3 linked regions of the Arabidopsis thaliana genome follow. The protein of the gene in region 3 interacts with the protein of the main gene of each other region in a pairwise test. Each region holds a gene or a part of one and is shown on either strand. Other genes may lie near its edges.

Region 1 (5,914 bases), on a different chromosome or scaffold from region 3:
TGGAAATTGCAATCCAGGAGTTCGAAGTATATTTCCTCCACTAGTTTCTTCCCATCTGATGAAATCCAAGAAACAAAATTACAAAATCAAGAACCATTAGTTGTCTTAACTTAACAGATGAAAAAGGAGTAGTTTCAAACTGTATTTTGTGACTGAGCTATGAAGGAAAACTGCAGTTTGAAGTTTGAACTTTGCTGAAGTCAGCTCCGATACACAACCGCATTCCATCACCAAACGCCATGAAATTCCATCACCACACGCCATCAATACAATATATAATACCAAGATATGCAATCATGCATACATCAGCTTCATGCAATATATGCATAATTTTTAGGAGATTTCAGATGTCACAAGATCGAATTGAACATATATTTTCAACAGTGTGAAATACAGTTATACGGTTAGGGTCTGATTTTTGTTTTTGGTACCACGTGGGTTTTACAAGTTTTTATGATATTACAAATAAATTAATAATGCATCACACTTCATTTATTGTGAATGGGTGACTTTTAAGAAAACAATGACCAAACACCACCCAATAACCTTCCTGCACTGTGTCATTTAGGCCTTAATGGTGCAGTGGATAAGGATAAAGTACGGGACATAGACAATGCCTTTAATCATCCACCATTCACAAATGATAATACCTTGTATACATGCGATGTAACTTCAAATATAGGGATGATTGTGTGCTTTGCGGATCAAAACAAGAACTTTAAAACCTCTCGGTAAAAAGTACAAATTAATGGTTACTCTAAACGGAAAGGCACAGGAGATTTGTTATTTATATGATGTTCTCAAACAAAGAAAAGCTACTCACACAAATCACATGTTGCCAACTTTAAGCTAAAGACCCAACTCTTTTCTTTACGTGTAACAGAAAAGTGGCGCAATGACCTTCAATGGCTTAGCTCTTGACTTCTCGATGGTTTGAGTTTGATCTCTTCAGCGCCCTGTCATGGTTTAGCATTGCGCTTACGCTCTCAACCACGAAAACGATCTGTAAAGAAAAGCAGAAACCCGTATGCGGGTTTTAGTCAAGATAACCCAAAACTACAACATTCTTTGATCAATAACTGATGATCTCATCATCCTCTGCTTGATATCATCAAATTTTGTACTATATGAGTATCAACTCCCAACTACTGAATAGAATAATGAATTTTGAAATGGATCCAGGCCTATATTTTACCTGAAAGCACGCGTAGCCGATAGCGTTTCCAAAGTAGAAATTTGCATTTCCGGTTCCCTGTCATGAAAAAATCAAAGGTAGTTGTGATCATTAGAACATTTTGTTGCAACTGCTGTGAAGAGTTGGGTTATGGATTTGAGTAGAAGCTTACCCGCCATATCCAGAGATTGTGCATCACAGGGCTGAGGAGAGAGATCCCGAGATATCCACAGAAGAGGAAGAACGAGAACTTCATATCTATGTGAAACAGAAGCAGAGTTTATATGCAAAGGCTAAACAATGCTAAGAGGATGTGAAGTATTTGCTTTTACCTAATAACTCATTGACAAACAATGCCCATAAGCTCAAGTATAACGCCGAATCTCCGACCTATTGAGAGTAAATCAAATGATGAAAGCATTGTTAACATTTATGAATATAATTCCTCAAAGAAGAAAAGATAACTTCAAGTTCACAGTGAATTCAACTACTTACTGAAGGATAAGATTTAAGAATCGAGGAGATCGCTAAGTATATGAAAGCCAGGAAACATGGCCGATGTTTCAACCTTATGGCTAAGGGCAGTAACATGAACAGAATATTTACGTGTAAAACTATCAGAAAAAAGTTTCTGAAGAAGTCGAATACTTCTGCAAAGAAGTACCTGAAAACGAGATTTAAAACGAACAGTAAATAGTCTTTTCATAAAAGAAGGGATCCCTTATTCATCACCCAATGATATCACCATATTAATTTATTTTACTTACCAAAAGACTCCAATGTTTGGTGAAAGATCTTCAATACTAAGAATGAAACCATACGTCCTACAATAGGAGGCAAAGACAAACAAACATCAAATCGCCTAAACACTACGTTGCAAGTTCTTAATAAATAATTATATGATTTGGAATATAAGTTATAGATATAATATGGCTAACGGAAACTAATCCTATAGCGGTTATGAATAAGATTTCTAAGTTAGAGGCTACCTCTTGAACATCTCCTCAAGCCCACCATATTTATTCAGTGATAAGGCACATAAAATCAACACATAGAGTGACCACAGAAGTACCCAGAACAAGAAGTGTGCGACTGTTTTCCATAAGAAAGGAAGGTGCGTAGTCTGTTTCAACTTGGCTTGTTTAGAAACAGTAGAGGTTGAACTCTCCTCATTTTCTACACTTCTGGTCTGAAGGAACAATTTTATAGGAGGAGCATCCAAACCATATCCCAATAGAAAGATTATCTGTGGGAAATGCACGAGCAGTTAGAATTTGTTTAATTTGAGAAACGTGAAAAACATAAAATAAGAAATGATACATACTGGAATTGTCAGAGTAGCAGGATAAAGAGATAAATGTGTGGCAATGACTAAGCCAAATGCTGCCAGAGGAACTCGTCCTGCATGGGTAGAAAACATCAGTTATAAAATTTCAAGAAACTATTGAACAAACAATATGCAAGTATCATCATCTTCTTACGTGTAACTGCTCCAAAAAGCGCCAATATGACAGCCAGGTTTTCGATGGGAGAAGTTGATAAGCCCACACAAGAAACTATCGTGAAAGGATTCCACAAATACACAAGAGCAGCAATATCACCACAAGGTAGGATCACTGAGGAGACAACGAAAAAGGAGAGATCAATATTTGCCTTCAAGTAAATAGTTACAAGAAAAGAGTAGAAATAAGATAGATGATACACAAAATTCAACAACTGACTTCAATCTACCTTTATCCCTTGATGACTTAAGAAAACCAAGTAGTCTCGCATTCAGTCCATAAGCCATCTGGAGTTTCTGACCAATAGCTCGAAGAAGCATTGCACTTAATATATCTGCAATAACAAAAACCAAGCTGTATCCAAGAGAATGTTGGTAGCAACGACATGACTATAAAGCTCTTGATGAATAGTAAATCATTCAAAGATCATCTCTTTTCCAAATTCACATCTCACAATCTAATCCTACCTAAGATTTTAAGCTAGCTCAAATCTGAGAAGAAAGAAAAAACATGTGATCACAGAAATGAAGGGACACTGAAAAGTACCTGCACAAGAGGTGACTTGGTTGCCCTTTAATCCTGCAAACACACAAATTGTCTTCCAATAAAACTCAAGTGGGAAAAAATCATGTTTTCATATGATTCAAGCTCAATAAATCACAAATCCTAATATCAAAATCGATTAGTCACTACCTTTGAACTGTGAGAGGTCCAAGAACCGAGAGCAGCAATGGTGAGCCATGATACATAGATCCTGCTCAAATATGTACAACTTCAGCTTCTAATAGCCTAAGAATCCAAATTTACAGAGGATCAAATCTTAAGATAGACCTGCATATGGTGACATCGATGCCTGCTTCAACCAATAACCTTCAGCAACTGAAAATGTTCATACAAAACGAAGAAATGTGAGCTGAATTCGAGATCTTAGAGAGCTAATGAGGGAGTGAGAAAGAGAGAGGAGATACGGCGGCGAATGCTGGTGAGAGGGGTAGAGACCTCCGGACGGGAAGAGAGATTGAGATTTCCCGGGAAGGAGATCAAGATCAATCGGAAAGCAATGGAAGATAAAGCCCAAATCCAGAATCGGCTTAGCTGCTTCATTTTCTGCTCCTCCGCCATTTCTCCGTCGTCTTTTCTTCTTCTCTCTCTCCGGCGAGTGAAGAGAGACGACTCAGATGAAACGACGACGTATTTGATATGATCTTGTTAAGGTTTGGTTCCGGTTTGATTTTTTCGGTTTATGATCCATTTATAATTCGGTTTGATTAATGTAACTCTATATCGGTTCGGTTCGGTTTTTGTTTGATGCATTTCGGTTTCGTGTTTGTGTGATAAACATTTTTCCAATGTAAAATATCATATGAAGAATAATCATATATTTACTTTTTTATCTTGTTGTAATTTTGAAGAGAACACTAAATACATATATTATGCTTCGTTAAATACTTATGTGCTTATTAACTTTTTATGTTTACTTAATTACGTTGGTACGTTGTGTGAACTGCTCTCTCCTGCTTCGTTCTTTGCTTTCTTCTTTACTTCCTCTTTCCTTGCTTCTTCTTCTTCCTTTATTGCTTCATCTCTAGCTTTCTTCCTTTCCTTTGCATCAACAACCGCTTTTCGCATTATGTCTAGGGCAGTTTTTGATTTCTCAAAGACATCATCCCCCATCTTGTCTACCTCGTCAAGATCTCGAAGAAAATTAGGATCTGAATTTGTACTTCGTATAACTCCCACGCGATATGCAACATGTTTAGCTGTGTTGATGATTTCCTCCATTTGTGAAAGGATCGGGTTTGTCACGGCTTTAAACGCTTCGTCTCCCAAATCTGTGTTAGTGGCTTTCATGTAAGCTGTATAGAAATAGTCTACATTCGTCCTTGCTTTCTTGGCTTTGGTGTTTATCTCTGTATAAATAGATTGCATCTTAAGAACCAAAAACAAAAAAGAGTTATTGAGTTTTTTATATAATACGAATAAGAGCTAGCTAGAGAGAATTGTGATGATGCACATCCTATATATATACACACGTTTAACAACTTGATTAGCAAGTTCAATAACTATCGCAAAAGTGCTTTATTCGCTCATAAGTCATAATCAACCTCCCAATTTTTTTTTAACAAAGTATAGTTTATGTGTACACGCTTAATTAAGCCACCCTCCCAAGCTTAGTGTTTTTTTCTTACTTTTTATTCATCAAACTCAAAGGAAATGAATGATCTAATTCAAAACTAATTATACAAATGGAATTCCACAATGCACAATGAATGGTTAACGTGGGAGGGAATTATGTACCTTTATATCGTTTAAGAACAATCCTTTTAAGATACAATTATTTTCTTATTTGCATTTGGTTTAGCTTTCATGCAAAGTTTATTTTCTTTTTTTGGATAACGACTTTTATGCAAAGTTCTCTATTAATATAGCTCTTATCCTGTTATATCATCTGTATATTGTAGCATGATTTCTTACAGAGCACATGATAACAATCCAAAATAAATATATGTGTATATTTGTGCTAAGTGTATCTATATATAATTATATATTATTCATTAATATATATGTTAATATCTACTTTTATGTGTATAGTTTAGATTTTGTACATAGATTCAGATTTGATTTTTAGTCTAGTGATTAACTAGATTATGTTCATACTATTTTAGTGTTTCCTAGAAAATCATTACAACCCAAATACTTATCTAAACATCTTAAGATAGAGTTTTAAGATGTTAAACCTAAAAGGTCCTAGTGTTAATGAATGAAAAATATCAATTATTAGGGAAAAGATACTAGAAATTATATACATCTTGAATTAATCATTACCATTAGATTAAAATGTATTTCTAAATAGTTTCCAAATATTTACCCTATTTCTTATTCTTATTTATCAGTAAAATTAGACAACATTTTGATACAAAAAGAAACACATTTTGCCCATCTTTATTAATAGGCTTATTAAAAAAAGGTTTATTAAAAAGCCCATTATATTTGCTAGTAAAGCCCATTAGTTTTGAAATTTTGTAAGCTCTTTATGTTTGTGAAATCTTGCTTATTTGTTTCATAGCTATTCTTTGGTTGCGAATTTTGTTGAACCTTAACCTAGTGTGGAAGCAATGCCGGAACCTCTAATTTTTTGTTAACGCAATTCAAGAAACTCTAGGAAGGCCAGAAACTCTAATTTCTTGTGAATGCAATTTTACACAAGTTTCAATAAAAAAAAATTGATGCTTAGTTT
Region 2 (3,640 bases), on a different chromosome or scaffold from region 3:
AATACTGAGGAAGAAAAGTGGTGTCGTCGGCGAGAAGGAAAACATCAATGAAAAAATCAGTGATCGAAGAGGTCGGTGACGGAGATTCAGATATGGCGGAGGAGATATGGAGAATGAGCGAGACCAAATCTGGGAGGGAAGAGGAGCTCAACGACTGAGCATAAGAATCAGCAAAAGTGAAGCAGATCTGAGAATCTGGTGGATCCGGTGGTTCCGGTGGAGTCGGCGGAGATGGAGGCTCTGGTGGTGGTGCACAAGGTGGCCTCAGAAGGAGGAAGGCGACCGAAGACGACGGTAAGCGACGAGAGTGGCTCGCATTCGAGAGAAAAAGGAAAGTCATTTCAAGTGAAAGACTCGCCGGAAAACAATTACGCCACCGGAAAAGTAGATTCATTGGAGAGATCTCACTTTAGTAGTAGCTACAATCAGGAACGCAGGCAGTCAGAGGAGCAACGCCGGTGAAGAGAACTAATCACGAACAAGGCTTGCGGCTACCTTGGTTATCTTGCTTGAGAGAAAATTTTTTTTTTTTTTTTTTTTTTTTTTTAGTAAGAGCCTTTTATTCACCAATAAGAATTTTGTTCTTTCTAAGTATACAAAATGACTAAAGAGTATTTTACTTAACTCACAAATAGTACACAGGAGAGCTCTAACAGATTGAAACGTGAACCTCACCTGGAAAGAAAGTACTTTCTTTCATCACACACTAAAGTCTTCAAAAGCTGTTGAAAGTTCTTTACTTGTTTCAAAAGCGACCAAGGTTCCTAAGAATTGTTTAGCTCAGAGACCAACTTCCAAAAAAAAAGATATTAACCTGTAGAAAGCTTTTGTTCTGGATCTTGAACTCGCAACAAACATCGCAGCTTCCCTCAACAAAACATTGCTTTAGGATCCAGAACAAATATGGTCATGGTCTTTGAACAATGTTACCACATAATCTGTTAAATCTCCTGCTTTTCAAACATGTAAGTGAATTTCAACAGAAACAAATCTAGCTCCACTCTATGAATATTGAAGCAGTTTTCTGAGAATCCGGAAAGGGCCTATAAATCAAAAGAGAAATAAAACACCTCAGGTAGGAGAGTCTTGAACTTTGAATAGTATACTAGTCTTTTTGGATCCTTCTAAGGTTACATTAGCAACATCAACGACCTTGGAGTTATGAAAAAGCCTAGCAATGTCTCTTACATCATCTCCACCACATTCATCAACCGAAACCACACAAAATCCGCCACGTCTCACCGTCCTCTCCATCTCCTCCACAAACTGCCACGGAAACAGAGCTTCAGCTAGATGTGCAGTGAAGGCAAAATCAAAGACACCGTCGAAAAACGGAAGGTTATGAGGATCAGCTCTTTTCACAAGAGGAATCGAATCAACCAATTCAACTGCGGTAACATCAGATAATCCGATCTGAGAAAGAGCCATCAGAGCATGGCCTGCTCCGGCGGAGAGACAGAGAGCTTTGGTGTGATTTTGAATGAATCCGAGATCGCGAAATCGGAGGAAGTAGGTAGAGAAGGAGTATAGACGAGATTTCCAAGCTCCAGAGGACCAGATTCGAGCGTTCTTCTTTGGGAGAGGAAGATGCTGACGAGGCGATGAATCGCATGTAGATCTCGGGAAATGCGTATGAGGTTTCGATGGAGCTTCTGGAGAAATACAAGTTTTTGGTGTCTGGAGAATCATAATTACCATTAATACTGTTCCGATGCTTAAGAACACTATTGATACTCTCTTCAGCATCTTCTCGACGTTTCTCTCCATCGTCGCCGATCAAAACTCCGATCAAAATATCTATGTTTATATAACATCAATAATAAAAACACAATCACCTAACAAACGCCGTTGATTGTTACCAAAACTCTAAATAATCTATTTTTGGAACGAAATTCAAATATTCATATAAGATTAGCGGATCGAATTTCTCTCTATTTCCTCAATTTTCCACAAATCTATGTCGATTTAGTATAATTAATCGAAACATGGTCAACTAACAAACGCTGCGAATTGTTATCAAAACTCGAATCCATCTATTTTTGGAATTAAAATTCAAATATTCCTCAAAAATTAGCAAATCAAATTTCTCTCAGTTCCTCAATTTTTACACAAATCTATGTCTATTTAGCATCAATAATTAAAACACAATCAACTAACAAACACCGCCGATTGTTACCAAAACTCGAATCCATCTATTTTTAAAAACAAAATTCAAATATTCCTCAAAAATTAGCGGATCGAATTTCTCTCTAATTCCTCATTTTGGCACAAATCTATGTATATTTAGCATCAATAATCGAAACACATTCAACTAACAAACGCTGCAGATCTAATCCATCTATTTTTAGAATCGAAATTCAAATCTTCCTCAAAAATTAGCGGATCAAATTTCTCTCTTGTTCCTCAATTTTCGCACAAATCTATGTCTATATAGCATCAATAATCAAAATACAATCAGCTAACAAATGCGCTGCTTTGTCACCAAAACTCGAATTCACTTATTTTTAGAATCAAAATTCAAATATTCCTCAAAAATCAGCGGATCGAATTTCTCTCTAATTATTCGATCAAGAAACAAATCCTACATTGTTAGCAAGTAGTGGGTATAATGACTGGAAAAATGCTGCGCAAAGGCTGAAAAGACATGAAACAACTCATCGTCATATTATTTCCATGACTCATTGGATGGAGCTAGAAGTGAGATTACAAAAGAGTAAAACAATTGATAACCATATGGAATAGGCAATTAAGAAGGAGAAAAAACATTGGAGAGATGTATTGGTGAGAATAATTGCAGTGGTAAAGACTCTAGCTAAACAAAATTTAGCATTTTGTGGAACTAAAGAGAATGTTGATGATCCAAATAGTGGAAATATTTTGGCATTTATTAGAATGATTGGAGGTTTTAATTCGGATATGAAGGAACACATTCGGCGGGCTAATAAAGGTGAAATTCATTGCCATTTTCCCAGTCATAAGAGTCAGAATGAATTGACAGAATTACTTGCTAATGATACCAAGATGATGATCTTAAAGAAGATTAAAGATGCGAAGTATTTTTCAGTCATTCTTGATTCCATTCCGGATGTTAGTCGTAAAGAACAAATGACCTTCTTAATTCGATGTGTGGATGTTTCAACGTGTTCACCTAAGATTGAGGAGTTCTTCTTGACGTTTCTACACATCAAAGATAAGAGGGGTGAGGGGCTTTTTAAGACTCTTCAAGATGCATTGATTGATCTTAAGTTGAATATTGATGATGTAAGATGACAAGCATACGACAACTGACAAAATATGAAGAGAAAACATAAAGGAGTTCAGAAAAGGTTGCTTGATATAAATCCAAGAGCATTTTACACTCCATGTGGATGCCATGGTCTTAACCTTGCACTTTGTGATATGGCTTCATCATCCAAGAAAGCTGTTTCTTTTTTTGGAATTGTTCAGCGAATACATTGTCTGTTTGAAGCTTCAACCAACAATTGGGAAGTGTTTAGAGAAACAGTGAATGGTATTACACTTAAACCGTTGTCTCAAACGCGTTGGGAAAGCCGCATTGATAGTCTTAAACCAATAAGATATTAAGCTTCAAAGATACAGATACAAGATGCACTTTTTTATTTGGCAGAATACACTGATA
Region 3 (7,956 bases):
GAATCTTTCTCTTATATGCTACTTTTGGAGATGACTTCACGGAACTGAACAAACCATTGAGATGCTTCTGCATCAGGATTCCTAACTTCATTCTCTTGCTGCAGCTTTTTGGTTGAGTGATCAAGAGAAGGTAGCTTCTTTGCTACTTGCAGAGATGGGACAAGAGAGAGCAGAACCCTAGAGACTTCAAGCATTGTGGGTCTCTCTAAAGGGTTTCGCTTTGTGCATAAGAGAGCCAGCTGAAATGTCTTCCTGATATGTCCCAAGTCCATACAAGTCACAGTAACCTCTGGATCAACTGCTTCCATCACAGTATTATCATCAGCCTTTGACAATATCTGCAACATAAAAAAAAAAAACGTTAACTCTTTTAAGGTTCAAAGATCATAATCTATAGTGATTCTTGATTCATATACCAGTTGATGCAAGTTAGCTTCGTTATCCACTGCTTTCTTCCCAGTGAGAAGCTCAAGAAGAACAATACCGAAGCTGTATATATCGGATTTCTCATTGATTCGTGAAGTACGAGCATACTCTGGGTCTATATAACCAATTGTTCCCAAAACATAAGTCGAGGCATGGGTTTTGCTAGCTGGTATGCTCTTAGCAATCCCGAAATCAGATAAATGTGCTTCGAAATTCTCATCAAGAAGTATGTTCGATGACTTGATGTCACGGTGAATGATTCGAGGAGTACAATCGTGGTGAAGATAGGCTAGTCCTTGTGCAGCTCCAACCGCTATCTTCAACCTTGTCTCCCAATCAAGCTTCACTTTCTTCAATGACCCTTTTCAAGAAAATAAAAATCAAAACATTTTTACCGTTTATCTGCAAATCAATCTTTCACAAATTGAACCAAAAAAAGTTAGAAGAACTTACCATGAAGAAGGTCCCAAAGTGATCCATTTTCCATGTAGTCATAGAAAAGAAGGTTGCCAGTAGGAGACAAGGCATATCCATGCAAGCTGACTATGTTTCTGTGCCTAATGCTCCCAATGGTCTCAAGTTCTGTCTCAAATTCCCGCAAGTTATGCGGATACTGATTGTAGAGTCGCTTAATGGCAATAGGTCGGGAACTTTTTAATGCACATTTGTATACCGTGCTAGAAGCACCATATCCAATTATAAACTTTTCGTTAAGATTCTCAGTCACTCTCATGATATCATCAAATGTATGAATTGCCATGTCCATGTGGAGAATCACTAGCTTGGTTAACCCTGAGAATCGGTAAAGATTGATATTGTCATATAAGAACAGAATATGAGTTATGAAGAAGTATGAAGGCATCATCATTACCTTCAGCTTGTTTTGAGGAGCCTTGTAGAATCTTCTTCTGCTGCATTGATTTGTAAACTGCAAGGAAAATCATACATAGGAGAGTGATGACGCCAAGAACAATGCAGATCAAAGCACCTCTGGAGAATACTGAAAAGAACAAGAAAAGCAAGCTCAAATAAACAAGAAAAAACATCTATTGAAGAAAATGCTTAATGGATAAATCTAGTAGATACCTCGAGATTTCGGTAAAGGACCACAAATAGATCCAACCCAGTTTCCACAAAGATATGGATTTCCAACAAAGCTATACAGAGGTTATGAATTTAGTTTTACAATGAAAGCTTATGCGTATTGATCATAATGACAGACTACTGAGAGAAGCTTCATACCTGGCTGGAGCAAAACGTGAGAAGTTTTTCATTGGTGGGACTATCCCGGAGAGATTGTTGAAGGAGACATTCCTAAAACGTTTTCGAAGAAAGAAGAAGAAAATGTTGGATTCACAAATCTTCCAAAGGGCTAATATTGCTCATAAGCAAGTATCTCTTGCAGAAGAACTTACAGATTGACAAGAGTGAAGCAGTTCGTAAGCTGATCTGGAATTTTCCCATGAAGCTTGTTGTTGTTCAATATTCTGTACATAAACATAAAGATCAAACCATACATCTATTTTGTATATAATACAAATGATAAGATCATATTATTAACTTACAAAGAGTTTAAATTCTGCAATTGGCCAAGTTCAGTTGGAATAACTCCGGAGAGCAGATTGAATGATACATCACTACAAGTAAAACAGATAAGTCAGAAAAAAAATATGATTTTGATATAACCAAAAGAAGCAACTATAAGCTTTACATCATCTGAATGCTTCGAAGGTTCCCAAACTCTGCAGGTAATTGTCCACTAAGATGGTTTCTGCTAAGATTTCTGTTTAATGAAGCAAAAGATTAAAAGTTAACAAACACAAGAAAAACATTTACAAATTTACAACTTTAAGTGTAAAAGACTTACAATATGAGAAGGTGTTCAAGATCGCCAAGCGTTAATGGTATAGACCCTGAGAAGTTATTGCCAGACAGATCTCTGGAAACAAAAACATATGATGAGTTTGCAGCAAATTCAAACTGAAACATAAAACCAAACGATGTAACAAAGTTGAGAAGACATACAGTTTGTCAAGATTGATTATATGTCCAAGCTCAACTGGTATTTTTCCCTTGAAATTGTTCGACGAAAGATTCCTGCATCCAAAAGGATTCAACAGTCACTATAATGTTTAGAGGGAAGCAATGTTACAGCATTGTATTGAATGAAACTCACAGATAAGTCAAGCTCCCGAGATTGCGAAACGCCAGTGGAATAGATCCACTCAAGAGGTTCCCATGAACATTGCTGAATTCAAGTAGAGCAGCAGAATTTAGGTTTGTGAATAAGAAGAGTAAAGCATGAATTCAAAATGAACTATCTTATAGCTTACAATTGATTCAAGGCTGCACATGAACTAATGTTGGATGGTATGGGCCCTACTAAACGGTTGTTGGCAAGATTCCTTTCATGTCAAAAAATGGATCAGTAAAAACAAGGATCAAATGTAATGCTTCAACAGCTAAAGTGAAAAACTTTAGAGCAAGGAAAAGAAACTCACAGTTCAAACAATTGCTCCAGCTTTCCAAGCTCAGGTGGAATAGTTCCCACTAGTTTATTGTCGTTTAGCTGCCTTCAAAATCGGTAAAAGAAAAGCAAAATAGATAAGTATATGGAATGCGAAAGCTATGTAAACAGATTTGAAGTTTAAAACAAGCTTACAAATAGCTGAGACGTGACATATTCCCAAGCTCAGAGGGGATTGGACCAGTGAGCATATTGCCATGGAGATACCTATTTCAACAAAAAAAAAAGGTATCAATGCATATGCCAAGAGCTGATTAGCTGAACATATGAGATACTACAGTTATACAAAAAAGACTCACAACTTTCCGGTAAATGAGAGATTGCCAAGTATCGGTGGGATAGGACCAACAAGCTCATTGTCACTCAAATCCCTGTGAATTGAATAGGATTCACAAAGTCAGACGAGCCAAATTCAAGAATGTACTTTGTCGTTACTTTTCCATATGAATTGAACTTACAAAACAGCAAGAGCCTGCATTAGACCAATAACTTCTGGAATTCTACCCGTCAATCTGTTTCCTTGAAGTGACCTTCAAAAAGTAATAATACACAATTCAATAACCGCATGTTAACAATTTACTGATGAAACTAAGGTAAAAGAGGCTCAATACTCACAGAGTAGCAACTTGGAGGAAGCCGATATTGTAAGGAATCTCTCCTGTTATCTGATTATAAGATATGTCCCTGTAATATCAAAAGGTATGAGTCCAAAATTCACTCCTATAGTGGAAGTCTAATGTTTAATTTAAGATGGCACATACAGGATTTGAAAGCTTGTGCAATTTCCGATGCTCTCCGGGATGGTTCCAGTTAGATTATTTCCTCTCACATCACTTCCAACAACAAAACACAAGTTAAAAAATATAACTCAAGACTTGAATGAATCAAAGAAGGACCAGGATCTATACAAGACTCAAAAGATGGCAGAGCGTTGGATCCACTTACAAGTACCACAAACCGGTTAGCTGACACATATCAGAAGATAACGTTCCAGTCAACATATTCCCTCGTAATCCACTGCAGAAAGAAAGTATTAGAAGGAGAAAATTAACTTCTTCTATGGTGTAGACTATATTGAGATCAGAGAAAATGACTCTGACGAACTTACAGATACTGCAAAACTTCATTCCAGTAAAGCAATCTCGATATCTCACCCGTTAGATGATTGCCAGCAAGATCACTGCAACATCATGATTGGAAAAAAGAAAATGAGTAAGTTCAAAATCTATTCCCAAATTTTGATTCATGAGTAAATGATGTAACTAAAGAACTCACAGTCTCTTAAGGTTTGGAATCTGGGTTAAGGTTGCTGGTACAGGACCTGTGAGCTGATTGTTCTTCAGATTCCTGATACATCCACAAGTTCAAAGGTTCACAAAAATCCACTCGAAAAAAAAAAAGAACAAGTAGACAAAATTTGAACTTTGAATCGGAAAAACAAAATGTTGAAGTATAACACATACAGAGTTTCAAGCTGCTTGAGTTTAGAGATTGAGAAAGGTATGTCTCCATATAACAGATTCTCGGACAAATCCCTGTACAACAGAGGATATGGACGTCAAAACTAAAGACATGAAAATTGAAAACTCAAAAAAACAAGTTTAATAAGACTTACAGATAAACAAGAGAAGCACAGTTTCCAATCTCATCTGGAATTTGACCTGCTAGTTTATTACCTTGCAAGTCTCTGCAATTGGAAAAAGCCTTTATGAACAAAAGCTACAACATTTCAAAGTTCAAACATGCAAATCAACAGAGAAAGAAAGGGAAAAAAAACCATTACATTGATTGCAAATTCCGTAGGTCTCCAATAGCTGGAGATATCTCCCCTCCAAGATTCAGACTGGACAAATTCCTTCACAAAGTAAAAATAGAAAAAAAGCAGAATATTACAAGACCACAAAAGAGAGACATTTTTCAACAACACAAGAATTATTATTGAACTCAAATAAGATTCTTACAGAGAGACAACGGAGTAGCTAACGTTGTCGCAGAAAACACCTCGCCAAGAACACAAGTCACTGTTGTGAACATCGTCCCAATCCAAAAGCATATTCACTAAGTTGCTGAAAGAGCCTTTTATCGCCATCAGAGCTTTCCCTGTGGGTTTTCAAAATTCATAAACAGACTCAACTAGGATTAGTAATAAATCATTTGAAACGCGGAACATCAGTCACATAGTTAAATATACATAAACCAAAACTAAGGAATTTTTGTAAATTTCATGTCCTTTCTCTCCAGGACACTAGGGATTAAGCTTCGTTTTTTTCTCGGGAAACAGCTTGAAAAAAACACAAACTTTCCATGGTACAGGAACAGGCATTCTCTGTGTACTAATCATGATCAAATTTCTTGGGAAATGGAGAAAAGATTGCATCTTTATATGCATTTGATGAAGAACAAGCCAGAGCTAAGTATTGGGTATGAAAAAGCTTTCAACTTTAACTCTCTTTTTATGGGGAAACCAAATGTTTGACATAAACCAAAGATTATATGTCATGATAACTTCTAACACAGACGATTTTAGATTCAAACTTTCAGAAAAAATCAGAGAATGGGTTTAAGGAGATATACCTAACTAAACCCTAATTTTTGAAGCACATAATCAAAATTTTAAACAGAGATCACAAGAAAAAAGACAAAAACAAAAGAGTTAGAAGAAACAAACCTTCGTTGTTCATAGCCGAAGCAACACCAAAAACCATAAAACCCACCATTGCTAAAGATAAAACCATTCGCTGCATCTTCTCCTTCATTTTTTTCTTCTTATTCTTCTTTCCTTTTGGGGTAATAAGCCAAGAAGCTCGTTGAAGTTTTGATTCAATAACAACAAAGCAGAGGAAACCAAAACACAAAAGAACGAAACTTCAGGCTTGTTCTGCCATTGTTGCAGAGAGAAAAGGGTACCAAAACAGGTGATTAGCGTGAACTGCAAGAAATGCAGAGCCAGAGATGTTAAAGAAGAGAGAGACAGAGAAATGGGGAGAGAGAGATAATGTACTAGAGCCCTATATAACTAGCCATGAAAGAGAATACTAAGACCACGACAAATCTGTCAGAGTGTGAGAGTATATATGTATGCAATTATATACACACACTTATATCATTTACTACTTAAAACTCTGATCGAACCATTAACTATGATAATAATGTCACGTTAAAACATTAGCCACTTCTAATTAGTATATGATCTTCACTCTCACACGCATTAACATTTTTAGTAAACGGAGATAAGTAACGGCGTTAGGAATTAAGAAAGGTTGATTTTGACGGTGACATGACCCGCCGTTTGTTGTAGACGCCGCTTTCCAATGCATGGTAATATTCCACTGTGTAAAAACCTCGGTCACGCGCTAGATTTGTAGCGCGTGTTTGATCCAACGGTGGATGATTCGAGTAAACAGGGTTAAGAGGATGGGAAGCGATGTAGAGAAACTGAACTATGCTTTTCCTTGTGAAAGTTAGTTAATGCTTTGATAGTGATTGGGGACACCGGTTGGACCGGTTTGGTTTTGTGGTTATACGTTTTTCGACCGTTAGTTTTTTTTAGCCAATATGATTGGTTTTCTTTTATGTTGATGTGAATTTTTTACTATCTTATAGTTATAGTTATAGAGACCATGTCACATGTTGGTTTTTTATGGATTGATTTCACAATTAAAGCTGTATGAGTGGGACGAAAAAAATTGGTGGAATTGTACCTTGCGATAAATACAAATGAGAGTCATGTTTATATATACCATAGTTTATATTATATGTGACAAAAGCTCCGAGGCTCTAGGATAACTCTAATCGTTCGAGATTAAGCCAATATTCTATCTTGTTCTTCCAATAATGTTTGATTTAATTGTGTGTACTGTGTTATATGGAAATGTATCGGTAAATAGTTTAGTATAAGGATTTGGTTTTGTTAGATTAAATTGGTCCGACCGTATCTTTATTTTGCATAGTTTTGGATCTTTAGGTCTCCAGAGTCCTTTTTGTTGTACAGTCGTACTATACGGTCTAAACCGCCCTATCGGTCAAACTTTTGGGGAAGACTAAAATATACAAAAATTATGTTGTTTACATAGAAATGGTTTTGATTAATGTAATTGTTTATAGTTGAGGAACCTTCTATTCTTGAAAGTTAAAATACTTCGAAACGATTCAAGAATATAACCCAAGGGGAAAAAATGCAAGTCTTAATAGTACTTCAATCTATTTTGAAGTTTACTCAACGTTTATATGTTTACCAATAACTAATCATCATCATATTGGTTTTATTCGTTCTAATAAATGTTGGAGGAATTTTGTATCCACGAGAACCAAAATTAATAAAAGAATAGAGTAGGTTCAGCTGTATGCGTCTCTAGTACTTTCTATAGACTAGTAAATAGATGCATGGGTTCAGCTATATGACCTATGTGAGAATTATGACCACACTTGAACATTTGATCTGTTATATATTTTTCAATTCCGGCTTTGCAATATTCAATCGGTATTCATAGTAACCTTATTATTCAACTACGGTTTTGTCAGTTGAGTAATCGTTTTAAGTAATTTATTTACCTAATAATCAGAGTTTATACTTATTAATAAAGCTCGTAGGCTTCTTCCACTATATATATAAATGTTACATGCCTCTATATCGTGGGCATAACCTTGTTGATGTAATGAAGTATGAACATTTTAGGCATTTTGTTTTCTACTTTTACAAAAATGGTAAATTGCCCAAGCCTTTGTGGTCTAATGGCAGAAGGAAGCTTTAGTGAAGGGTGAAATTCCCAAACGTAAGTTCTATTTTCCTTGAAAACAAAATCACATTTGTTACAAAAAAAAAAAAAAAAAAAAAAAAAAAAAAAAAAATCACATTTGTTTGGGAAATATGTGAGTTGGGCGTAGATTTACTTGATAGTCAGAAATACAAGCGGTCTGACTATCCCTAGCATTAATCTCTGTAGCACCTCGGTGCATTTCTACCGATACTAACCAGATTAGCCGATAGGATATATAAAAAAAAA

The links. The genes of interacting proteins can lie anywhere in the genome.
Region 1: the proteins of ERL1 (region 3) and AT1G63110 interact in a protein complementation assay, tested with the Arabidopsis thaliana proteins (one large-scale study listed by BioGRID).
Region 2: the proteins of ERL1 (region 3) and AT2G16030 interact in a protein complementation assay, tested with the Arabidopsis thaliana proteins (one large-scale study listed by BioGRID).

What each region holds. Positions count from the first base shown.
Region 1 is NC_003070.9:23,402,754-23,408,667, reverse strand, and holds AT1G63110 (GPI transamidase subunit PIG-U), read right to left. Parts: upstream 3,981-5,914; 5' UTR 3,799-3,980; coding exon 3,645-3,798; exon of another isoform or gene 3,556-3,644; coding exon 3,508-3,555; intron 3,431-3,507; coding exon 3,370-3,430; intron 3,256-3,369; coding exon 3,223-3,255; intron 3,031-3,222; coding exon 2,906-3,030; intron 2,791-2,905; coding exon 2,656-2,790; intron 2,576-2,655; coding exon 2,499-2,575; intron 2,421-2,498; coding exon 2,164-2,420; intron 1,999-2,163; coding exon 1,942-1,998; intron 1,839-1,941; coding exon 1,670-1,838; intron 1,565-1,669; coding exon 1,507-1,564; intron 1,433-1,506; coding exon 1,347-1,432; intron 1,253-1,346; coding exon 1,196-1,252; intron 1,004-1,195; coding exon 911-1,003; 3' UTR 549-910; downstream 1-548. Other genes in the region: AT1G63105 (uncharacterized protein), read right to left, coding at 4,159-4,527.
Region 2 is NC_003071.7:6,973,125-6,976,764, forward strand, and holds AT2G16030 (S-adenosyl-L-methionine-dependent methyltransferases superfamily protein), read right to left. Parts: upstream 1,884-3,640; 5' UTR 1,768-1,883; coding exon 1,072-1,767; 3' UTR 549-1,071; downstream 1-548. Other genes in the region: AT2G16018 (uncharacterized protein), read right to left, coding at 1-394; AT2G16019 (uncharacterized protein), read left to right, coding at 48-158; AT2G16020 (uncharacterized protein), read left to right, coding at 232-462; AT2G16040 (hAT dimerization domain-containing protein / transposase-like protein), read left to right, coding at 2,893-3,199, 3,629-3,640.
Region 3 is NC_003076.8:24,994,186-25,002,141, reverse strand, and holds the start of ERL1 (ERECTA-like 1), read right to left. Parts: upstream 6,007-7,956; 5' UTR 5,710-6,006; coding exon 5,622-5,709; intron 5,054-5,621; coding exon 4,915-5,053; intron 4,809-4,914; coding exon 4,737-4,808; intron 4,641-4,736; coding exon 4,569-4,640; intron 4,489-4,568; coding exon 4,417-4,488; intron 4,301-4,416; coding exon 4,229-4,300; intron 4,134-4,228; coding exon 4,062-4,133; intron 3,971-4,061; coding exon 3,899-3,970; intron 3,787-3,898; coding exon 3,715-3,786; intron 3,638-3,714; coding exon 3,569-3,637; intron 3,484-3,568; coding exon 3,412-3,483; intron 3,325-3,411; coding exon 3,253-3,324; intron 3,161-3,252; coding exon 3,089-3,160; intron 3,000-3,088; coding exon 2,928-2,999; intron 2,832-2,927; coding exon 2,760-2,831; intron 2,675-2,759; coding exon 2,603-2,674; intron 2,524-2,602; coding exon 2,452-2,523; intron 2,366-2,451; coding exon 2,294-2,365; intron 2,210-2,293; coding exon 2,138-2,209; intron 2,064-2,137; and 16 more. UniProt on the Arabidopsis thaliana protein: Receptor kinase that regulates inflorescence architecture and organ shape as well as stomatal patterning, including density and clustering, together with ER and ERL2. Redundantly involved with ER in procambial development regulation.